6 linked regions of the Xenopus tropicalis genome follow. The protein of the gene in region 1 purifies or fractionates together with the protein of each later gene. This does not show direct contact. Links are inferred from orthologs where the notes say so. Each region holds a gene or a part of one and is shown in the gene's direction. Other genes may lie near its edges.

Region 1 (3,500 bases):
GATATGGAACCTCTGGATCTGGAGCGGATTAGCTGCGTGGTACCTCGTGGTACTACTGTGTACAAGAAACAGCTGGGCTCCGTGGTAATGCTAAGGGCCCTTAGACTAGCCTACTGGGGGGGGGGGGATATAATGACTGGCTATTCATACTAATGACTGTAACCTTGATCTTTTCCAGCTCACTGTGTACCTTGGGAAAAGGGATTTTGTCGACCATCTGGATCGGGTGGATCCTGTGGGTAAGGGGGATTTAAACATATATTGCCGAGGCCATAGACTGATACAGAGAGGCCTGTTCAACTGTAATTCCCTGCCACTTCTACAGTAGTTGGTTCCACATTCCTGCTGCGCATCAATGTTTTTATTTTATTTTTTTTTCTTTTCAAGATGGCGTCGTACTTGTGGATACAGATTATCTGAAAGATCGGAAAGGTAAGTCCCATAGCCATTGCCAACCTCCCCCCCTACCTTCTGTATTTTCATTATGACCCCTATGTTTTAAAGGGCTGCTATATCATCAATATTTTATCTTTTTTTTTTTGTGGGAATATTAAAGGAGAACTAAAACGTAACTAAAGAAGCTCCTTAGGCTGCTGTCACTTACCTGAGCTTAGGGACCGACTCACAATATACAGTATAAATACAATCAGGGACACCATCAGAAACTTTGGGGCCCCGCAAAGGTTATTTATATGGCCCCCCCCCCCCCCCATGAACACAAGTAAAACAAATTTTGGACAGTACCAAAATGTTGGCCACGCCCCTTGTTTGTGCATAAACAGCTGATGTTGCTCCACAGTCAGTGGAGTTTGCCCTAAGTTTAATCTTTGCATACGATTTAGGGCCCCAATAACTAGTCCGTAGTAGTTCATAAAAATAGTAAAAAATAAAGTGGTAAGTTACGCAAGTTTCTTTGAAAGTAATGCAAGTGTTTGCAAAAGTTACGTAAATTGCGTAAGCATAGGGGCTCAATGATGTTGCTGTGGGGCCCAATAACCAGTCCTTCCCCTGCTGGAAAGTTCATGTAGGAGCCGCTCATATCATTCAGTAAATAGATCCCAATACAAACAGCCGATGTGACTCTATAATAACCAGTCATTCCCCTGCTGGAAAGTTCATGTAGGAGCCGCTCATATCATTCAGTAAATAGATCCCAATACAAACAGCCGATGTGACTCTATAATAACCAGTCATTCCCCTGCTGGAAAGTTCATGTAGGAGCCGCTCATATCAGTCAGTAAATAGATCCCAATACAAACAGCCGATGTGACTCTATAATAACCAGTCATTCCCCTGCTGGAAAGTTCATGTAGGAGCCGCTCATATCATTCAGTAAATAGATCCCAATACAAACAGCCGATGTGACTCTATAATAACCAGTCATTCCCCTGCTGGAAAGTTCATGTAGGAGCCGCTCATATCATTCAGTAAAAAGATAATAGATAATTTGCGACAGTCCAAGATGGGGATCTTCTGCGGCAACTTGAAAGGCCTGGATCATTACTACTATAGAGATGCTGATCCTTCAGGCTGGGGCAGTAAGTTTAGTATGTAAGCTATTGCATTTCTAGCTATATTCATTTTTAGGGTTTAGTTCTCCTTTAAAAGGCATGTATACTTTTCCCCTCTGGCTTCTGCCTGTAGTTTTTAGCTTCTCATAAGTCTGTACAGGGAGATACCATATACCATATGAGCTCAATAATGCAGGACAGCTGTAGGGTATAGTGGCCCTTTAAACGTGTAGCCTTAAACTTACCCCTCTTACCATTCTGCCCGCCCTTACCCTCCAACCGGTGTCCCCTATGCCCCTCCCCTCACCACTCTCTCTCTGCCCACTTCAGTCTACGTCACGCTGACCTGTGCTTTCCGATATGGCCGGGAAGACCTGGACGTCCTGGGCTTGTCCTTTCGAAAGGATCTCTTCATTTCCAAGTTCCAAGCCTACCCGCCCCTCCCAGAGGAAAAGAAACCCCTCACTCGCCTGCAGGAGCGGCTGATCAAGAAGCTGGGGGAACAAGCACACCCGTTCTTCTTTACCGTCAGTGTTCCTCCCCCCCCCCCAACACTCCTCCTGTATCTTTATCCTTCCACCCAGCCCTATGGTGCCTTATAATCCCCCCCCTTTATTTCCCCTTTAGTTTTAATCAATCTTCCTAAGCAGTTTTTCAATTGGTCTTCATTATTTATTTCTTATGGTTTTGAACCCTTTGCCATTTTCAAATGGGGGTCACTGACCCCGGCAGCCAAAAAACAATTCCTCTGTGAGTCTCCAGTTTTATTGTTATTGTTACTTTTTATAACCTTTTTTTCTATACAGTTCCTCCCCTAGTCATATATCAGTCTCTCATTCAAGCTGCTCCCTGGTTGCTAAGGTAATTTGAACCTTAGCAACCAGGGAGCCGCTGAACAATTTATTGAAATAATTAAAAAACTACAGATAATAAAAAATGAAGACCAATTGCAATTTGTCTCAGAATATGACTCTCTGCATCATACTTAACTCAATGGTGAACAACCCCTTTAACAGTCTCTCGTTTTCTTCTTATTAGATTCCGCAAAATCTGCCATGTTCCGTCACTCTGCAGCCAGGACCCGAGGACACTGGGAAGGTGGGCATTCCCTGGCATACTCCCATTAGTAGGCACCTATATACTGCACAGTGCAACTTTAACCCCTTCTTTTACCCATCAGGCTTGCGGCGTGGACTACGAAATTCGTGCCTTCTGTGCCAAGACCATGGAAGAAAAGATGCACAAAAGGTTAGTTTCATGCACATTGCTGTTTCCTGCCAGTCACATGATGCCTAGGAAATTAGCTACCCACTTTGGGTATACGTATACTTTTCATTTTGATGGCAGTGTTCCTTTAAAGGGGTCGCGTTAACGTTTTAGTACGATGTAGAGAGTGATATTCTGAGACAACTTGCAATTGGTCTTCATTTTTTATTTGTTGTTTTTTAATTATTTCAAAAATTGTTCAGTAGCTCTGCAGTTTGGAGTTATAACAGCTATCTGGTTGCTAGGGTTCAAATTTAGCAACCAGGGAGCGGTTTGAATAAGAGGCCGGTATATGATTAGGAGAGGGACAGAATGGAAAGTTAAATAAAGTAACAATAAAACTGGAGCCTCACAGAGCAATAGTTTTTGGCTGCCGGGGTCAGTGACCCCCATTTGAACGCGGCAAAGGGTTTGAAGAAGAAGGCAAATAATTCAACAACTATAAGGAATAAATAATGAAGACCAATTAAAAAGTTGCTTAGAATTGTATTCTTAGAATTCTTGTATGCTTAGAATTGTATTGCATTCTATAACATACTAAAAGTTAACCCACCCCTTTAAAGACTTTAAAGCAGTTTGAATTTGACCGTTTGGACCTAGGGTCATTAAGGTCCAATTAGCCTGATCTCTCCCACCATAGGTGGGCCTATCGGGACACAATCTGCTCGTTTGGCCAAACTAGTGGGTCACACCGTGACACGGGCCGATTGTAGCTGGTCCCTT
Region 2 (4,200 bases), on another chromosome or scaffold:
ATTTGTGGAGAGGCCACAAAGGCCCGGGCCTAGGGCGGCAGAAACCTGGGGGCGGCATGCCGCCCAGCCGCACAATAATCTCAAAATTTCTGCTCCCATACGGAGCAATGGGGACTTCTCCCCACTGCTCCGTATGCACTTTGGCCCACGGCGCATGCTTGTCCCCGCTGATTGCGCATGCGCGCACCCCCCGTGCGCCTGCACACTACCGCTGGGGGGGGGGGGGGGGGCGTGGGACCGGGGACAGCCTGGGGGCGGTGAGTTTTGAAATCCAGCCATGAAACCAGCACCATATATTATTTGGAATTGCCTACAAAATTAGGTTTTTTTCCCATTTATCCAGTATGTCTCCTTTAAAAAATGATAATGCATCATCCATTGTTATTTGCAAGAGTCTTTTATAAAAGCACCTGGCATGCAGTTTTATGTTTTTATATGGAAACAAACTCCTGTGTGGCTTCTAATATTGTTTTGAATAACAATAGGGCAGGCCCAGGTTGGAAATCTTTGGATTCTGGCAAATGTCGCCATAGACAGTCACAAATGATTGCGCTTGTGGTGGGGGCTGCTTGGGCCTCTATGCACCTAAAATACCAGGGCCTATTTTGACTCCCAGTCCAGAGTTGCAAAAGGGGATACATTATTTACTATATTACTACAAAAACCATACTGGGGCAACCCTGTTATAGTGGGCCCAGGAACACAGCATAAATAGTATTGAATTGAATTTATAATAGGGCAAGAATGTGGCTTTGAGGTACAACTCCCAGCACTCTCAGGGAGAGTCCTATGTCATACAGATAACAGGGCCTCGCAGTTTTCCTAAATATTTATTAACTTCCCTCACATATTGCAAAAGCCAAATACCAATAGTTAAATACAAAGCTTAGGGTGGTTATATGTACATTAACAAAGAATTTTAGCTGATTTTCCTGCACTGCATTACTGCGTGTGTATTTGCCTGCTTATAGAATAGAAGTTGCTCTGTGTCAATATACATACACGTAGCGACTTTAGTCAATGCCCTTCCATAGAATAGTGAAGAGTGAGGCCCCGTTGAAAGCGCGTTGTAGCTAAAGCCCACACTGCTGGCGGAGAGAGCAGCACACGGGTTAAGTCTCACCTGGCTGCTGGCTACTCACGCAGCGCTCAGGCTCCTCCCTTTGTGCTCTGATGGATTTCCTAGCTGAGCTGCAGCTTTGAAGCCTGCGGGCGGTAGGACCCGGTGGTCATCTGGAGGCAGGGTGTAAGAGGCACAGAGGGAAACCCATAGACAGCGGCTGGAGAAAGGAAGAGAAGGCAGGAGGGAGGATCGCTTTGGGCAGGGGAGGAAGAGCCATTGCTCACTGTGTGCAGGGGAGGAAGAGACAGAGACGGGCACACACACAGCTGATGCACAGGAGAATGATCCGAGGCTGAAGACTGCAGAGCCGAGGCAGTTATCCTGCAAGCGGCAGCAGTACCCACATCCCAGGGTGGCAGCAAGGTGACAGCAGCAGCAGCAGCAGCAGCAGCACTACTCTCCTGCCAACCATCAGCAGCAGCCGGTTCCTCCCATCCCTCCATGCAATCAATGGGCTGAATCTGCAGCAGCAGCAACACTACAAGCAAAAGCAGCCTTATCCTTCCCCACCTCCTCCTCCCACCCTCTCCCCCTCTGTGTCTGCTCTCCTCTCCTCCCTTCTTTCCTCTCCCTTCCCTCTCCTGCTCCCCTCGGTGATGGTGAGGCTTCAGCTGGCTGTAATCCACCGCTAGGCCCCAAGCCCCCCTCCCAACTCGGTGGCTGCCCTCCTCTTCCAGACTCAGCTCAGTAATACCTCTTGCATCCATGTAAGTCAAACCGCCCGGCACTTCCATTTCCTAACCTTTGTCTTCCACCCTCTGCCAGCACCCACGCCCTTTTTTTTTTTTCTTCTTCCATTTATTGGTATAATCCTTTAACCCTTTAGGTGTCAGAAAGCCTCCCCCTATCGATCATTGCGCAATGCACCAGGGGGGCCTTATGTCACTGACAGGGTTAAAGCAGGACAGTACCTAATACCCTGAGAGGCATGGGGGTGTTGGTCAGTGTTACAGCCCTGTCAGGGCCTGGCGTTGTTTAGTGCTCTGCAGGAGGGGTAGCGGTAAGAGAGCAGCATGCAAACTGCAGCTGATGCAAATGCGCCAAAAATCAATCACATCCCAGTAGTCTTGCTACACAAACTGCCTGCAGGGCAATGCTGTCGCCTTCAGTGCAACCCAGGATGTGTATAATGTTCCTGTTGTGTAGATGTGTGTATGTTTGTTCATAAACAGTGTTAATTTCCAGGGAAGGGCTGTGGCTGGAACTATGGCTGCTCTGCAGGGGGGCTGGCAGCATTGCTTTTTAAAAAGATGGCAGGAAAACATGTATGTATATATATTTATATAAAGATGGTAGAAATGTGCTGCATTTGCTTCTTATCCAGTCTATATACTCAGTTGTCCAACATGTGGCCCTCTGGCTGTCATAAGATGGCAACTCTCTGACATCCACCGCAGCGGAAGGCTGTCATAGGCTGCTGGGAGTTGTAATTCACTGACAGCAAGCAATGCTACAGGTCGGACACCCTGGTGAAATCTAGTAATATCCCCCTTGGGCTGTAACAAAAGCTATCCTATTGCACTAGCATTTCTTTTGCTTACATCTCTGAACAAGATAGTGTTTTACTTCTAGACTGTTGTGTTATGTATGTAGTCTGTTACTTGCTGAAACTGATGTGCTCTTTGTGTGTCCCCCCACCAAACGTGCCCACTTCCTGTGTACATGCTCTAATGTGTATGGGTGTGCTGGCTGAGTTTGACACTTCCTCGCTCTGGCCTGAGCAATCAAGTACTGTGGATTACTGTTGCTATCCAGACTTCGAGGAATATAGCAGTATTGTGAAATTTGTTTACCTGAAAAATATATATATATGTGTTCAGTTAAAAGTAGGTTGCAGTAAGCATGTGGTTGGCATTTGGCAAGTTCCCCACAGTAACTTAGCACAACAATTAACCCAGTCGTTATTGTGATGTTTTTCTTAGGCAATGTATTTTCCAGTAATGTTTCTCGGGGTTTATGCGCACATTAATTTCCAGCTGAATAAGTAATAAGATGTTCGCTCATGGTTTAGCTAGATTAGTATTGCAGGTACAGAAATCCTGTAAAATCAAGAAACAACTAGATTATTTGCATCAAAAAACAGTTTGGTTGTGTCACAAGTCCAATGCTGTGTGTCACCTTTATGTAGTGCGCTAAATTAAAAAAAACAAAAACAAAAAATTTCATGACATGTCCTTTCTATGTGCAGTCATCTGGATTTTATTCAGTGTCTGCTATTGCAACAATGTAAAAAAAAAAAAAAGAGTATAGGTTAATAAACTGGGCCCCGATTAACTTTTGCTACTATTTTTTATAAAAAAAATTAAATAAAAAAAAATTGTAGTTCATTGTTCTTCTAGTGATCAGTGAATGAAAAACCAAACTGCTGATTTGATGCTGGTTTGGGAGACCAAACTCTCTTGAATGCAGGAAGCAACTAAAAACATGATCATGCTGCTGGGCTAAATAGGAGCCGGTGCAACTGACCTGCATTATTTATAAGCATCCTGCATTTAAAGGTAATACCTTCTCTCCTTACTCTTAACTAAGCAGAATATACAGTAGGTAACTTGTATGCTAAAGCCAATGTTTGACTGTAAACTTATCTGTGCATTTGTATAGTGTAACCTTTCATTCTACCTATAATATGTATTTGGCTTTGATTTTATATTGTATTCCACTTTGGTTCAGGTATATTTCTCTGAGCATGCACATATACAGAAGTTAGATCACAAATATATTTAAAGAACATATAAAAATAGTTTTTTGAAGTTTATTAGAAATGTTTATGCTATATTGTTGTAGGATAGTGTTGGGCATAAGGATAAATTAATTCAGAAAAAAACTTTGTATGACATGTCTCCCAAGTATATATCCTTGAGGTTTGACGCCTATTCGTAAATAATCTTAGGTTCAACTGCACTGCATTATTGTAGGGAAAGCAACAGTAGGCAGTGCTTGGAAAATGCAGAAAACAAACAAAATAAATCTGAAAATATAACTAAATCAGCATTTCAACTCCTGTACAGAGTCTGTGGCAAAACCTCAGTGTAGGAAGCAGAATATTGGTTTGTTATGACTTTTGTGTCAAGTACTTG
Region 3 (3,989 bases), on another chromosome or scaffold:
GGTGCTGGGTGTATGGGGAGAAGTACTAGAGGGGTGGGTGCTGGGTGTATGGGGAGAAGTACTAGAGGGGTGGGTGCTGGGTGTATGGGGAGAAGTACTAGAGAGGTGGGTGCTGGGTGTATGGGAAGAAGTACTAGAGGGGTGGGTGCTGGGTGTATGGGGAGAAGTACTAGAGAGGTGGGTGCTGGGTGTATGGGGAGAAGTACTAGAGGGGTGGGTGCTGGGTGTATGGGGAGAAGTACTAGAGGGGTGGGTGCTGGGTGTATGGGGAGAAGTACTAGAGAGGTGGGTGCTGGGTGTATGGGGAGAAGTAATAGAGGGGTGGGTGCTGGGTGTATGGGGAGAAGTACTAGAGGGGTGGGCGCTTTATAAATAAATGTTAATGTAATGCTGGGTGTATGGGGAGAAGTACTAGAGAGGTGGGTGCTGGGTGTATGGGGAGAAGTACTAGAGGGGTGGGCGCTTTATAAATAAATGTTAATGTAATGCTGGGTGTATGGGGAGAAGTACTAGAGGGGTGGGTGCTGGGTGTATGGGGAGAAGTACTAGAGGGGTGGGTGCTGGGTGTATGGGGAGAAGTACTAGAGGGGTGGGTGCTGGGTGTATGGGGAGAAGTACTAGAGGGGTGGGTGCTGGGTGTATGGGGAGAAGTACTAGAGGGGTGGGTGCTGGGTGTATGGGGAGAAGTACTAGAGGGGTGGGTGCTGGGTGTATGGGGAGAAGTACTAGAGGGGTGGGTGCTGGGTGTATGGGGAGAAGTACTAGAGGGGTGGGTGCTGGGTGTATGGGGAGAAGTATAGGGTTGTGTAATTCCTCTAGTTGAGTGAATCAGTCGGTGCGACTCACCAGGGAAGAATGAGAGAAAGGAAGACAAGGGAAGCCAGGCTAGCTCTGGGAGGGGAGGAGGAGAGAGGGGGAAGTGTTGGGATTAGAGGTGGGATCTGAGAGGGGAATAATGCAAATGAAAGGGGAAGGACAAAGGGGAAAGACAAAAAGGGACAGGCCGAATTAATAAGCGCCCCGGACTGTGGTGAGAGAGCAGGCTGGGTGTCACTGGGGCAGTACAGAGACCCCCCAACGGGAGTGACAGGCTGGGCCAGGGCTGATTCAGTGGGAGGAGGGACAGGCGGACCCGGGGGAGGGCAGCACAGGCGGAGGGGAGGAGGGAGCTGGAGCCGGCCGGGCGTGAACCGTACGCTGAGTAGATCCCCAAACTTCCCGGCCCAGGAGGAATCTGATGTGTGGGGAGAGGCACCGGGAGATAGTGGGTACGAGAAGAGCGCTCTTGCCCCCCTCTGTGTGAGGGGGGTTCCCGGAGAGTGGAATCTCCCGATATCTCAGGCAGGACAAGGTAAGTAGTGGCTGCACCGTGCCGCTAGGGGGCGTAGGATAGTACCACGGGTGCAGAGAATGGGGGCGCTATAGGCTGCTTGGGAATGGTGTATGTAACGCCTTTGGGGGTATTTGGAGCACTGCTACCATATGGGCCTTTAAATCTCACTCTGGCCCGGTATTCGGTGGGTATGCCTGTGTATATGTTGTGCACACAGGCCCTTTAATGGTCAGGGTAAGTGCAGCATGTTTCCTGCGAACATCAGGGGTTAAACTTCTGGGCCAATAAGCTAGCGTACATTTAACACATGATTTTGAGATGGGGGCATGCTGGGAGTCACTGGGCAAGTCTGGAGTTGAGAGAATATTGGGGAGTGAAGGGGCTAGTTAGCAATATTGGGTGTGCTGGGCATGGATGGGGGGAATTCTATAGTATACAGGGCATGTATGGGGGAATGCTATAGTATACAGGGCATGTATGGGGGGAATGCTATAGTATACAGGGCATGTATGGGGGGAATGCTATAGTATACAGGGCATGTATGGGGGGAATGCTATAGTATACAGGGCATGTATGGGGGGAATGCTATAGTATACAGGGCATGTATGGGGGGAATGCTATAGTATACAGGGCATGTATGGGGGGAATGCTATAGTATACAGGGCATGTATGGGGGGAATGCTATAGTATACAGGGCATGTATGGGGGGAATGCTATAGTATACAGGGCATGTATGGGGGGAATGCAGGAGGGTACAGGGCATGTATGGGGGAATGCAGGAGGGTACAGGGCATGTATGGGGGAATGCAGGAGGGTACAGGGTGTGTGTGGGTAAATGGTACAGGGAGTAAAGGATGGCTGGAGAGTACAGGGCATGCATGGAGGAGTGGTGAAGGGTACAAGGCGTGCATGGTGGGTTATCATAGATTGTACACTTGTGAGTCCTCTCTATAATAAACCAAAGGCCATCCTGCTACTGGTTGAAGTTGAGAGTTAAAATTCAACCCAGCTCTATAGGTATGGGTAGTTCTGGGGAGCAAAACTATGCTATGTACCTGTGTATGTATGTGGAACAATTCTGCATATAAACACACACAATGGTCAAACAGCTACTATGGCAGTGGGTTGCACAATTATTATAGTTTATATCTAAATTTAGATTGGTATTAAATGTCATACAGAGCTGGCAGCATTGTTTTTTTTTTTAACTATGTGATTGCTACAATTAGCAAATGGCAAGGGTAAATGTTTATGAATGTACTCAAGCAAATGGGTATCCCTCCCCCTTTTAACCATTTGCTGTGCAGCTTTTAAAGCAGGAGGCTTTAGGGCCATGATCATAACTTTCCAATGTCGCCTTGTTAGTGCCAGGTTGTAGGTAAAGGGCTAAGGGTGCTAGGTTATACGTAGGATGCACCAAACCCACTATTTTCAGATTCCGTCAAACTCAGTGTCCTTCGTAAAGGATTCGGCCAAATACCAAGCATATGTAAATTAGGATAGGGAAGGGTTAAAGCGAGCCTCGTGCGCAGGTTGCGCTGAAAAAATTTCAACTTCTGTGTTTATATGACAAAAAGGCACATGATTTTTAGTGTTCTGATTCAATTCAGTGCATCCCTAGCTGTAGGTATAGGTACATGAGTGCCAAGCAGTGGGTACAGTGGTATATGTGCCAGGCTTTAGATAAAGGAAGGGGCTGTTTACCAGGCTGTAGGTATAGGTACATAAGTGCCAAGCAGCGGGTACAGTGGTATATGTGCCAGGCTGTAGGTATAGGTACATAAGGGCCAAGCAACAGGTACAGTGATATATGTGCCAGGCTGTAGGTATAGGTACATAAGTGCCAAGCAGTGGGTACAGTGGTATATGTGCCAGGCTGTAGGTATAGGTACATAAGGGCCAAGCAACAGGTACAGTGATATATGTGCCAGGCTGAAGGTATAGGTACATAAGTGCCAAGCAGCGGGTACAGTAGTATATGTGCCAGGCTGTAGGTATAGGTACATAAGGGCCAAGCAGCAGGTACAGTGGTATATGTGCCAGGCTGAAGGTATAGGTACATAAGTGCCAAGCAGCGGGTACAGTGGTATATGTGCCAGGCTGAAGGTATAGGTACATAAGTGCCAAGCAGCGGGTACAGTGGTATATGTGCCAGGCTATAGGTATAGGTACATAAGTGCCAAGCAGTGGGTACAGTGGTATATGTGCCAGGCTGTAGGTATATGTATGTGAGTTCTCAAGCTCTGAGTACAATGATACATGTGCCAGGCTGTAGTCAAAGAGGTATATTTGCTACACTGTATGTAAAGGGCTATATGTACCAGACTGTTGGTACAAGTGAAAGGCTTCTGATACAGGGGTATGTATGCTAGGTTGTTGGGAAGGGCCTATGTAGCTAGGCTGGGTAAAGGGCAACGTGTGCCAGGCTTTGTTATCATCGGCTTATCAAATATACTGACACATGAATGTATCTTAGCAAATAACCTTTAGATAAAATCAGCAGGTCTTTTCAACCAAAAATTTATGCTCTGGCCTCCCTCTAGTGCAAAGCTACAACTCCCGAGGGTGATGGGAGTTGTAGTTTTGTACTAGGTGGAGGCTACAGTTGCCTTAGAGCCAGCTAAATCCCAGCTCACCTTCACACGTGCCTCAATCC
Region 4 (4,150 bases), about 27 Mb from region 1:
TCCAGCACAAGAGTTATTTAGAGCACTTACACAGTAGTATGTAATGATTAGCTATGTTTATCCCTTTGTAATCACCTGTCATTTTTTTTTTCATACAAAACACAATGGGTTAATTTATTAACGCTTGCGATGTGGTCTTGCAAGGTAATTATTTTACTTTTATTTAAACTTTGTACCTTCTTGGGTTTTTATTGTGTCTATGATTAAGTGCACATGAAACGCATCAGGCGTGATGCTTTTAAATGGATAAAGTTAAAGGGATTCTGTCATGACTTTTAGGATGAAGACACACTGAGCTACTAGTAGTAACTACTTACGTGGCTACAAAAATAGACAATGCTGATCATTTACTGATAATTTCTCTACGTGTGCTTTAGCAGAGGCAATTCTCAGTATTGTTAGGAGTCTAGTAGCTGTGAAAAAGTAGCTGCTACTACTAGCTCAGTGTGTCTTCACCCTTATGATATAGTTTTATTACTATATTACACTGTTCACATTGCAAATAATCCATTCTACGATTTAAAATTGCATTTTTGAACAAATAAATGTATATTTTTTAGCTGTAATACTGGTAATACTGGTGTGTAGGCGCCACCTGAGTCTGAACATTCAGAAGGAGCCAGAGCTACACATTAGAACTGCTTTCAGGTAACCTATTGTTTCTCCTACTCCTATGTAACTGGAGGAGTCCCAAGCCGGACTTGGATTTCTTACTATTGAGTGCTATTCTGATACCTACTGGGAGCTGCTATCTTGCTCCCTCCCAATTGTTTTGCTGATCGCTGCTGGAAGGGAAGTGATATCACTCCAACTTGCAGCTCAGCAGTAAAGTGTGACTGAAGTTTATCAAATCACAGGACACATGGCTGTGGCACCCTGGGAAATGAAGAATATGGCTAGCCCCATGTGAAATTTCAAAAGTAAATATACAAATGTTTGAAAAGTGGATTTCAATGCAGGATTCTGCTGGTGAATTTCTATTAACTGATGCATTTTGGAAAAAAAAACCCCAAAAACATATTTTCCCTTGACAGAATCCCTCTAATTTTTTACCCGACATCCTTTTGGTCAGTTGGTGAATGAAAGCCGCTTTGATTGATTAAAATGTGGCAGAACGCCACTTATTGAAATCTTATTTTCATGCTATTGTCCCCTCAAACGACAAACAGTAAAGTCGCCAGCACAAGGGCTATCTAAACGGAAGCACCTACACAGTAGTGCAGCCCTTATTGCTGAGCCCTGATGGAGGGTAAACAAAGCCTGTGTCATCAGGTACCACAAGATCAGTACCAATGGGCCATGGGATCATTACTCATAGAACATTATAAATAATAATAACTAAATAAGGTTTAGTAATTTGTTTTAATTTTACCCCACCAATTATACATTTTAATTTCATGGTAGTATAAGGGCCATCATGTATGCTCTCTTACCTATTGTCTCTATAAACACATATAATTATATACCAATGTTTTTGGATGTTAGGTGTATAAATAATATAATATATATATGAACAAATGAGAAATGCCCCCAGAAGAAGTAGTATGTTGTTGTTGTTGTTATTACGCACTAGGAAGCTGCCTGGCGCTAGTATGTGGGGATAAGGGATGCCTGTACTGACTATGAGGAGTGAGTAGATGGGTGAGTGGGGAGGCAATGCCTGAGCGCAGTATTGGATTCCCGGGCGAGTCCAGTGCAGCGGGAGTAGCTCCCCAGTCCTGGCTTTGCAGACAGCCCAGTGTGTGAGTCTGTGCGTGTGTGAGAGAGAGAGAGAGAGAGTGTGCGGCTCAGGCTCTTGTTTACAGCATTAGCGCCGCGCACACACACACACACTGAGAGGAGATCCCAATGAGAGAGGCTCGGTGGCGGCGGCGGCCCGGGGATCCCTACACACGGACGGCAAGCAGCGGGAGAGCAGCCCGTACGCAGCTTTAAGCCTCTCGGGCTTTATCCTAGGGCTGAAGAGAATCGCTCGGACGGCGGCGAGTCGGGCGGGCCGAGATACTCTCCTCCATTCATTGGTCCGGCGGGTGTGCAGCGGCCTCCTGCCGTGGGATAGCGGATTGTGCCCGGGGCTGACATGGAGGGAGAGGAGGGCGAGGTGCGGGCTTCGGGTTTCTCCCATCAGCTTCCTCCGTGCGGCCGGTTCCAGCGGCGGGACTGACACACTGTGCGCCGGGGAGATACACGTTACCCTGCGGGACTGAGGAGCCGCACACTTACCCTTGGATTTACCCAGCATCAGGCGGATTTCATAGCGCCCCCTCAGGCCAGGGATATACTGCCACCGGGGAGTAGGGGAGATACGCAGAGTAACAAGAGCGAAGAAACCCATTGGATAACGGGGCCCAATTCCTCGTAGTGGGCGGCGCCTGTTTCGTAGCTGCCAGAGAACCCCAAGTAACCCCCTTGTCCCTCTGCCTATCAGTCAGGGCAGTGGGGAGGGGGGGAACTGTGGAGCTCAGGGGCTCCCCCTGGAGTTGGTGCCGGCCGCTGCTCTGCCAGTACAACTTGGCCAGTCCGCTCAATAATCCACGTTTCACGATCCAAGCAGGTTCCAGAGCAAGGTGACCCGGGAATTCCAGGGCTTGTGGTCCAGGTAGAAAGGACCGGCGGCGCCATTTTTGTTATTCCGGGCCAGGGGGGAGTTCCTGGCAGAGTGCATGAGCATTTCCTCGGATTCCCTGAGTGGGCTGTACGCGGGGACTTGTTTGTGGACATGAAGGCCGGATTGGTGCCTGCTTGTACGGCCTGGATCCCGGGGGTCCTCGTCCTCCTCCTTCTGTGCCTGGGACCGTCGGCTGGGAGAGGTGAGTGTCCTGTAGCCCCCCGGTACCCCGGGCACATGGGGCTCCCACGCAGTGTGGGAAGTGTCGCTGCGTCAGGCTGCACGTATGGCTGCTGTGGTGCGCATCAGTGGGGAGCAAAGATTTGGGGCCGCACTTTCTCTACTCTTTGGCCCGAATCCCACCTGCTGTTGTTTCCCCATTACTAGTACGCAGCTCCCCTCAGTGTTGGCCTTTAGGGGCCCCAGAGAGCCATCAATCATTCCAGTATTAGAGATATGAGCTGTCAGTGTCCCTAAGCTCCCAATGTGCAGCACCAGGGATGCCCAATCTGCAGCCTTTTGTGTGTGTGTGTGGGAGAATGCTGGGAGCTGTAGTCCACAACAGCCGAATAACTGCAGGTTGGACATCATTGCCCCCTTCCTGCTAAATGTTTTGGCATCTGAGTGTACATCAGCATTGGGTCTCTCTTTCCTCTCTCATCTTCATCTGTTGTGTGGGGAATTGTATGGATGCGAGTGACTTGCTCAGACTGCACACTCTCGTCTCATAACTGCATGTGCGTTGCACTAATGGATAACCACACACGCTGCATAGCTCCCATCTCCATGCTTCAGGTACCAATCTCTCCCAATGCTGCTGCAGCACATTTTAAATATTATACAGCTTGGTGCTGTAGTCTAGAAATCTCCAAACTTGCTTCTGTTGGACTACAGATACCAGCATTCCAATGGGAGCTGTTGAATAACTATTGCCCTTCCCCTGATTTCAGTCGCTCGTTTGCAGTAAATGCAGCCACTGTTTTGATAACTTGTAAGCTCATCATTGGAATTGTAGCCATCCTATAAATCTCAGGTCATGCTGGCTTGTGTAGCCAGGCAGCAGTGGCCCATCCCTGCTTCGGTATGGGTAGTTTGGGCTTTCTGTGGAGAAGGACCGTGGACTTGCCCTTATGTCTCAGATTTTTATGACAGGTCTGAAGTTTGAGATTCTCATGCATCTAGTTGCATTCTAGTCCACACTGTTTGTACTGTAAGTATTGGTGCTACTGAGTGATATTGCTTGGGAGATGCAGTAACATGTATATAAGACTTCACCTCAAGGATGTGACAGTTTAACCTTTTACCCACTAGTTTAGTTACTGTTTTTTTATGTTGTCGGCAACTGATGCACCATGATGCTTGCATCCAGCAACCTCTCCACTGACACAAAGTTGCAGTCGTTATGACTTCTATGCACCCAAGATTATTCTTATCAAAACCATGCAATGGCTATAATGATACAGGGGCTGGTAGCATATATGTAACACATTAAGCACCTATGTGCAGAGATAGATAAATATATGGGGAAAACTTCATCATGCT
Region 5 (4,060 bases), on another chromosome or scaffold:
GGCGTTTTTCAGCCGCTGAGAAAATTAGAAAATACGCAGCGCAAAAACGCCTCGTGTGGCATCAGCCTTACTACTGGCATGGCCAGGGGACTCTATGGCACACGCATTGTGTGGCGTGGCCAAATGTGGATTCCCAGTGACATCACTGCGCATGCACTGACATTACTGGGTGCTTAATCTGCATGTACAAGCAGAAAGCTCACTACACATGCACATTTTTTTTTTAAATGGGTGATTACCACAGGTTTCCAGGAGGATATGGGGTACAAGTTCCTGAATCAGGTAACACTGGGGAAAACTTGGAGAGTTCACAGCTTTGTTTCCCTGATATCCTGGTTGACCAGTCTGACACTGCTTTAGATTATAAAATGTTTTTCTGTAACTAAGAGCGTTTTTTAAGGTAACTAGAGATGGCTAGACATGGAAGACCCTGATAATTTTGCTAAACGTACTAGATCCCATGTCAGTAAACTCTGGGCACTCCTGAAATATGCTATGTACCTATGTAAACAACGGTTTCAGTATACACAGGCGCCAGGTAACATTGGCAGCTCCTTACAGGCCAATAGGATAAAAAAAATATTTTATTGTATGAAGCAGGACTGTTTCCATGGGGTTTTATACTGTTTTGCTGTACAGTATGTACAATAACGTAACCCCACATTCTGTAATTACCAATTACAAGAACGCAACTATTACTGAAAAATATTGCAGATCATTTCCCATGGCAGCAAAGACGCGTCCAATCAACACCAGAGAAGACGCTACAGCCGCCGTACTGCGATCGATGCGTTCAGTCTAGGCAGGAAGCGCTTGGCGAGAGACGTCAAAAGACCTCTAATTCTGCTGTCAGGATCCGTATTGAAGTTTTATTTTCTAGCTTCTGCCGGACTACACTTCCCAGCAGCCTCCAGTATAATCGATCATTTTCTAAAGCGGGAATAAATCAGTAACCGGGAAGCCGTAAATCAAACACACCCTGTGAAAACAGAGAGTTTAGCAAAGAAAAAAAAAAAAAAAGCAGAGCCGTACGAGTCCACGCCCACTGCAGCAAAGCGTGAGGGGAGTTGCGCCTTTCCAAGGCCCTGCCCGTAGTTCCGCCCCACACACACCCAGCGGGCGGGAAGGCGTTAGCTCGGCAGCGCCTCACACAGCGTACGACTGAGCCAGTGCAGCGAGCCTGGGGCGCCGCCTCGTCATCCGCTCTGTCGCTCCCCACCAGAGAGGCAGCCACACCCACGGAGGCGCAGACGGACCGAGCCGTGTAATACCCACAGCAGCTCCGGAGAAACTCTCCCCGACGCATTAAATCAAGCAAAACATGGCAGCGGCAGGGGCCTCGTCTAACCCCGGCGGGGGGCCGGAGATGGTGCGAGGGCAGGCGTTCGACGTAGGCCCGCGATATACCAACCTGTCATATATCGGGGAGGGAGCGTACGGCATGGTTTGGTAAGTGCATGGGGTACGGGCGGATCTCCTTCTAATCCTAGTCATGGCCTTTTCCTTCTTCAGGCCTGTGCGTGTTGGGATCTGTCCCGGCCCTCTCCAGCTTGTGCAGCCACCTCCCCACGCACTGCCACTGCTCCACTAGGGACTGCGTGCTCTCGGCTCCCGGCTGCCAGCTCCGGCCTTTCTGCCGCTTCAACTCGGCATTTGTTCGCTAATATTTCTTTCCCATTATTTAGTGTTGGGAATTGTGTTGCACCTGCACCCAGCAATCCCGTCATAGCCAGCAATCATTTTGCATGCAGCACTGGTGCACATTAGGGTATTGCTTTCCCCCAAATGCAGATTTGTGCTTCCTTTCCCTGTAGTTGGATTATTGCGCCTTCCAGGCTTTCTTTGCTGTGTTGGTAACCTTTGTAAAGCTGAATTAGAGAATCATCCCCGCAATGTACCCTTAAACCCACCCATACAGCCTGTTACAGTTTTAGTTAATGAAATAGGAATGTATAATGTTTGACCCATCAGGGCTTGATGAACTAATTACTCCTGCATCCACTGACAGCCAGGGCTTTGGGAATTGTTCTTGGAGAACAGATGGAGGCCATGTTGTACTTGCATTTAATACTGTATGCGTGCAAGATATTTAAGATACAATGCTGTGGGCGTATTTATAACTTGTTATGAGTTAGAGGTTTGCACCATTGCAGTTAGTCCTGTTTGAAATATGCTCAAAAGTTAAGTTCAAGAAGTAAGGTTAAAAAGGCAATTTGACATTTGTATATTGTTGTATTTTATCAGTATTGTTGTATTTTATCAGTTATTTATGTTTGTTTCCTTTTTCCCAGTGTCGTGCAGGTTCTTACATTATCCCCATCCCATATATATGCTGTAGCACCAGAGTGTAGGACAAATGCGCTCACAGCCCTAAACAGCACATAGTTTAGTTTACTACTGTCTCATTGGTCTGCTAGTCTATAAACTTAGAACTGTGTTCATTGTAACTTTATGGACTTTTTATAAGTACAGTAAAAGTGGGAGTATTGTTTTTTTTTTTTTTGTAAACCAAGATAGACATCCATATCCTGTGCGACACAAGCCAAAGGTGACTTTTATATTAACTTCTCATTTTCAGTTTAATAACCAGTGTTTAGCTATACCTAGGGCCAACCTACATTCCGTGTGGGAACAGTTTTTCTAAATGGCATTGCGTAATCTCCTCAGATCACAGCACTTTTCAGTATAAATCTGCTAAAATGATGGTTCCATTGTGTTGTGTGGGAAGGCATTGGCCGACTCTAAAGTGACAAGTGCCAGCCCTCCTCCACAGTGATTCTTTTAATTCAGTTTTTCATATCAGAGCCTAAATGCACAGAGATATGCAGTTTGGACATAAGCAGGACACTGTGCCTCAGTCCAGCTAGAAATATAGATTAGAATGTGTGTCCTTGGTACATGGGTGACATCAATTTTATTGTAGATATAATTTGCTGTATTAATATTATCAGGTTTCATTATGTTTTAGGAGCTTGAACAGGCCCAAATATCTCCAAGGTTTAAAATCTTACATTTTCAGGCATGCAGTACAAGAGATTAAAGGGGTACACTGGCAGATTTAAGCTGCCAAGGTGGGCAGGTTTGACCTTAGGGCCTGATAATTGAATTAGCCCTATATTGCCCACCTAAGGTGGGCAAATCGGGGGAAGATCCGCTCGTTCAGCGACCTCACCAAATGGGCGGATCTCTACATGCCTAGCCACCTTAACATAGGGTTGCACACCACTTTTACTTGATTGTTACTGCTTGTATAGTTGTTGATCAATGAATTATTAAAGGGTGCACATATTGTCAAGAACAGACTTTTGCTGTTCCACTATGTAAGAAATGAACCTTTTAAAATTTGTCTTTCTCACTGCTAAAGTATTCCCAAAAACCTTACAAGCATGACCCAGGTGTTCACTTCTGGCTGGCTGCTTCCTCTGGTTGTGCAGGAGAGCCAGAAATACTCAGCACTTTGCATTGTAGAGTGCCAGCCAATCCCAGTCTAGTGGTCTTCAGTTATCCGCTCCCCTAGCTGTAGGCACAGGGTGGTAAACTTGAGCCTCTCTTCCTCTGTGGTGAGTTGTTGGACCTATTTTAGAATCTTGCTATTTGTCCAGTGGACCTGACTGGGAACTGCATATTACCTTTCCCTGTGTTAAGAGAAGAGATAGGATTGGCTACCCACATCCACACGGGGAAGTGAATTAGAACAGCTTTACGCTAAAATTTTCTGACTAACCAACTTGTATCCATGACTTATAGCTATGGCTTGTAATTGATGGGCCGCTATATGCATACCATTAATTGTAAGATATTATTGATATGCTTTTTGCCAGATTTATCCAGTTACTGAATTTTTTAATAAAAGGAAGCTGATGGTGCCATCATGGCAGATTTGCTTCTGTTCTGGCTCACTGACTTCAATTCCAAACATAGGTATAACAGCCTAATAGGCTCTGCCCATTGGACTCTATAATGCAGAGACACAATCATATACCGTAATGCAGAAAAGCAGCAGATCTGCCAAGATGGCTGTGACAAAAATAAGGCTATTTGCCAAGGGGCCTCTCTTGTC
Region 6 (3,500 bases), on another chromosome or scaffold:
AATTCTTGAAGAGGGTTGGTGGCAAGAGGGACGTATTCTTCTTGGTGGGATCTATAGGAGGATTTTCAGGGCCAAAAATAAAATGTGAGAAACGTTAAGAAATGCAAAAAAACAAATGGGACTTGTCCGTGCTCTAGTTATGTTAAGTATTAAGTAAAAAAACAAAAAAGTTACTTTCAGTTGCATGAAAATCTAGTCACATCTTACTTAATGCAGCTTAAATCACCAGTGTGTCAACTATGTTGTGTCAACAACTATGTACTTCTTCAAACCTAGAGCATGGAAGCCAGAAAAACTGTTTGCTTTAGATAATGGTGGCTACACCTAGCACTTTTTTAAAACCGTATCTTTTGTAAATATGTTATCTATTATTGAGAGACCCTGAAATAATGCAGTTCCATCTCCCATACAAAAATCCTTATTTTTAAATGCTAAAATTGTTAATTTTGTGTAAATAATTTAGTAAGATACAGGGCAAGCTCAGTAATGCACTAAGGCATTATGCCTGACCCTTAATATTTCTGCATCAATATTGTAGTAAACTGGTGTAAATGCGAAGGCCCAGTTGCAAAAATAATGATTAAGGCAATTACAGCTATATTGCAAGTATTCTCTAAAGGTGAACTTCCCTTTTAATCTTTCTTGAATATTTAATGCATAAATTAGGTCCCAAATCTGACTTCTATCACATGTAGTTCTTTTAAACGTTGTTTGCTTCATTGTTTGACATGTTATCTTCCACACGATGTAGACTCTAGCAGTGATGAAGAGACTACACCTAAACCTTCCACAAAAATTACTCCTGCAAAGAGTGCTGCTACACCAACTTCCAAAACACCCACAACTAGCAAAGCAACACCAACATCAAAGACCTTGCCTGCAAAACAAGGAACCCCCAAAACTTCCAAAAAGGATTCAAGCTCCTCAGACAGCAGTGGTAAGTGGAAAAACAGGTATATAATAGAAGCTTGCATACTTTATAGAATGAAAACAGGGGAGTTAAAAGGAAACCTTTCAAATTGTAGTCATGCTGGGGTTTATTTAATAAAACCTTAAGGCCAAGCTTTGTGTGGTAGGTGGCATATAGGAGGTATTTTGTCAGCATTGTACCAAATGTACAGTAACAGGCATGCTAAACTTTAACTATGTAATTAACTTAAGACTCAAGCAGTGATGAAGATGAGAAGAAAACCCCTGCCAAACCTGCTGCTAAAACCACTCCTGCCAAGCCTGCTGCTAAAACCACTCCTGCCAAGCCTGCTGCTAAAACCACCCCAGGCAAGAAAGCTCCAACTAAGAAAGAATCCAGTTCTTCAGATAGCTCAGGTATCTGCACTCTCAGTTAAAATTGAGAATGTTTAAATTATATAGGTTCTGAAATGGTTATTTTTACAGTTAAGGAGCCCAGTGTTCCTGACCTCTTATTAGTATTTTTATATAACAGGGATATTTTATTCAGAATAAAGCATTCTGTTATGACATGTTTAGTAAAGCAGCCAGTGTTTCATAGACCTTCCAGCTGTTGAGGAGTTAAATTTGAGTAGTTAATCAAGATAATTCATCTGCATAAACTACTCTGTATAACTGCCTTATTCTTTCCATATAGTTCAGTATTGCCTGCTTGGAACTTAGCATTTTTGAGAATGACCATGAAATATGTATCCATAACTATTTTAAGGCAATTTTTTAAGGATGGTAACCCATCAGTTGTGTTTGCGATTTACAGTAGTCTTTAAAAAGACACACGTCTGGAATGATTGGTATTTGCAATCTTACTATGTCCTAATAGATTTCTTTAACTTTGCTGCAGTGACCATTTTAGCCTGATCTTACCCTTATGGGATCTTATTTTGTGTAGATTCCAGCAGTGAAGATGAAAAGAAATCCTCTGCAAAGCCAGGAGTTAAGACTACACATGGGAAAGCTGCTTCCAAGACAGATGCTTCTGCTGCTGCAAAGTCTGTTCCTGCAAAGAAGGCTTCCAGCTCTTCAGACTCTGGTATGGCTTGGTTTTGTCTGAGTGGGTTGTTTGCAGTGGGAATGTATAAGTCCAAGTGTGCTCTATAGGCAGATGTATAAGTCCAAGTGTGCTCTATAGGCAGTGGGAATATATAAGTCCAAGTGTGCTCTATAGGCAGATTATAGGTAAGGTTCTTAAAGGAAAATTAATTCTAAGTAATACAGGTATCTGTTATTCAGAGCCAAAATAGTGGTATGTTGTTTAAATAAACGATTCTTATTTAATAATTTGCTTTTCATTTAAGTAAAACAATCTTGCACTCGTATACATGTACTATGCTAGGAATTATTTACCTTGTTTTGTGCAGCAGCAGCATCTGTTTATCAGTTTAACATGTTGTTCTATAATGTCTTTTAGACTCTGATAGCTCAGAAGAGGAGACCACGAAAACTACTAAGCCACTTAATAAGCCGTCCCCAGCAGTAAAGTCTCTGCCTTCCAAGAAAGCAGAAAGCAGCTCTGACAGCAGTTCCAGTGATTCAGATTCTAAGAAGAAAACAAAACCCGCAAAGCCACCAGCCAAAGCTACAACACCAGTTACCCCCAAGGTCCAAGTTCAAAACAAAAAACCTTCTAAGGCTAACAGCACTGATTCAAGCAGCGAAGAGGAGGGGAAAAGCAAGCAAACTACTGGGAAATCCCCAGCTGCTAAGGCTACTGTTCCTCCAAAGAAGAGCCCAGTGGCTGTTAATAAGGCAAAGGCCAGCAGCAGCTCCTCATCAGACAGTTCCAGCGATGACGAAAAACAAAAACCTAAACAACCACCAGCAGCAAAGGATGTGAAGCAAGGAGCAAAGGCCACAAAGCCAGCTCCAAAGAAAGCTGCAGATAGCAGTTCTGAAGACAGTAGCTCAGAAGATGATGACTTAAAGGCTACAAAAACAAATACTGCTATTTCTAAATCCCCAGTTACTCCCAAAGCAAAACCTGCTCCTAAAAAAGAAAGCAGCAGTGAGAGTTCTGATTCTGAAGATGAAAAGCAAAAAGGAAAGAATATCTCTACTCCCAAAACAGCAAATTCCACTCCTAAAGCAGCTGCTGAGAGTTCTGAGGAAAGTTCTTCCAGTGAGGATGAAGAAAAAGCTAACGGTATGGTTTATATTTTGCAGCATTAAATTCTTTAGAAATTGTGTTCATTTGCACATGCAGTTGTTCTTTGCCAAATGGAGAAGTTCCATCTGAAATGCTGTCAGGGGAACACTGGAGACATGTCCAAAGTAACACCAGTTATCACTTATAAAAGGTTCACCGATATGACAGGTTATCAAATATACTGGCTCTCGACAGGAGTATGGTATGTGTCAGTTCAGCACATCAGCTGATCCCTTACTAAACTGATAGGGTTCACTGCCACCCACCCATATCTGGTGCTGCTAGGTAGCTCCTAACCCAGAACATGAGATAGGGCTGCACTGGGTGACCCTAGCCTAACGTAAAAGGAAACCTTGGGGATATTTGCCAAATACATTCCATTTGTCAT

Evidence for each region.
Region 2: the proteins of arrb2 (region 1) and akt1 purify together in Homo sapiens (affinity purification with western blotting; 4 studies listed by BioGRID and IntAct, with this or other methods). This does not show direct contact. The link is inferred for Xenopus tropicalis from reciprocal best matches to the Homo sapiens genes ARRB2 and AKT1.
Region 3: the proteins of arrb2 (region 1) and src purify together in Homo sapiens (affinity purification with western blotting; 4 studies listed by BioGRID and IntAct, with this or other methods). This does not show direct contact. The link is inferred for Xenopus tropicalis from reciprocal best matches to the Homo sapiens genes ARRB2 and SRC.
Region 4: the proteins of arrb2 (region 1) and igf1r purify together in Homo sapiens (affinity purification with western blotting; 4 studies listed by BioGRID). This does not show direct contact. The link is inferred for Xenopus tropicalis from reciprocal best matches to the Homo sapiens genes ARRB2 and IGF1R.
Region 5: the proteins of arrb2 (region 1) and mapk1 purify together in Homo sapiens (affinity purification with western blotting; 3 studies listed by BioGRID and IntAct, with this or other methods). This does not show direct contact. The link is inferred for Xenopus tropicalis from reciprocal best matches to the Homo sapiens genes ARRB2 and MAPK1.
Region 6: the proteins of arrb2 (region 1) and nolc1 purify together in Homo sapiens (affinity purification with mass spectrometry; 5 studies listed by BioGRID and IntAct, counting the BioPlex papers as one, with this or other methods). This does not show direct contact. The link is inferred for Xenopus tropicalis from reciprocal best matches to the Homo sapiens genes ARRB2 and NOLC1.

Annotation. Positions count from the first base shown.
Region 1 is NC_030679.2:142,403,762-142,407,261, reverse strand, and holds part of arrb2 (beta-arrestin-2), read left to right. Parts: intron 1-178; coding exon 179-239; intron 240-387; coding exon 388-432; intron 433-1,841; coding exon 1,842-2,038; intron 2,039-2,549; coding exon 2,550-2,609; intron 2,610-2,691; coding exon 2,692-2,759; intron 2,760-3,500. UniProt on the Homo sapiens protein: Functions in regulating agonist-mediated G-protein coupled receptor (GPCR) signaling by mediating both receptor desensitization and resensitization processes.
Region 2 is NC_030684.2:99,749,721-99,753,920, reverse strand, and holds the start of akt1 (RAC-alpha serine/threonine-protein kinase), read left to right. Parts: upstream 1-1,400; 5' UTR 1,401-1,486; intron 1,487-1,740; exon of another isoform or gene 1,741-1,830; intron 1,831-1,970; exon of another isoform or gene 1,971-2,123; intron 2,124-2,161; exon of another isoform or gene 2,162-2,388; intron 2,389-4,200. UniProt on the Homo sapiens protein: AKT1 is one of 3 closely related serine/threonine-protein kinases (AKT1, AKT2 and AKT3) called the AKT kinase, and which regulate many processes including metabolism, proliferation, cell survival, growth and angiogenesis.
Region 3 is NC_030686.2:39,477,140-39,481,128, reverse strand, and holds the start of src (proto-oncogene tyrosine-protein kinase Src), read left to right. Parts: upstream 1-1,189; 5' UTR 1,190-1,351; intron 1,352-1,482; exon of another isoform or gene 1,483-1,558; coding exon of another isoform or gene 1,559-1,567; intron 1,568-3,989. UniProt on the Homo sapiens protein: Non-receptor protein tyrosine kinase which is activated following engagement of many different classes of cellular receptors including immune response receptors, integrins and other adhesion receptors, receptor protein tyrosine kinases, G protein-coupled receptors as well as cytokine receptors.
Region 4 is NC_030679.2:114,970,460-114,974,609, reverse strand, and holds the start of igf1r (insulin-like growth factor 1 receptor), read left to right. Parts: upstream 1-1,350; 5' UTR 1,351-2,719; coding exon 2,720-2,810; intron 2,811-4,150. UniProt on the Homo sapiens protein: Receptor tyrosine kinase which mediates actions of insulin-like growth factor 1 (IGF1). Binds IGF1 with high affinity and IGF2 and insulin (INS) with a lower affinity. The activated IGF1R is involved in cell growth and survival control.
Region 5 is NC_030677.2:154,011,314-154,015,373, forward strand, and holds the start of mapk1 (mitogen-activated protein kinase 1), read left to right. Parts: upstream 1-1,260; 5' UTR 1,261-1,321; coding exon 1,322-1,449; intron 1,450-4,060. UniProt on the Homo sapiens protein: Serine/threonine kinase which acts as an essential component of the MAP kinase signal transduction pathway. MAPK1/ERK2 and MAPK3/ERK1 are the 2 MAPKs which play an important role in the MAPK/ERK cascade.
Region 6 is NC_030683.2:44,081,966-44,085,465, reverse strand, and holds part of nolc1 (nucleolar and coiled-body phosphoprotein 1), read left to right. Parts: intron 1-751; coding exon of another isoform or gene 752-937; intron 938-1,161; coding exon of another isoform or gene 1,162-1,326; intron 1,327-1,858; coding exon 1,859-1,999; intron 2,000-2,377; coding exon 2,378-3,109; intron 3,110-3,500. UniProt on the Homo sapiens protein: Nucleolar protein that acts as a regulator of RNA polymerase I by connecting RNA polymerase I with enzymes responsible for ribosomal processing and modification.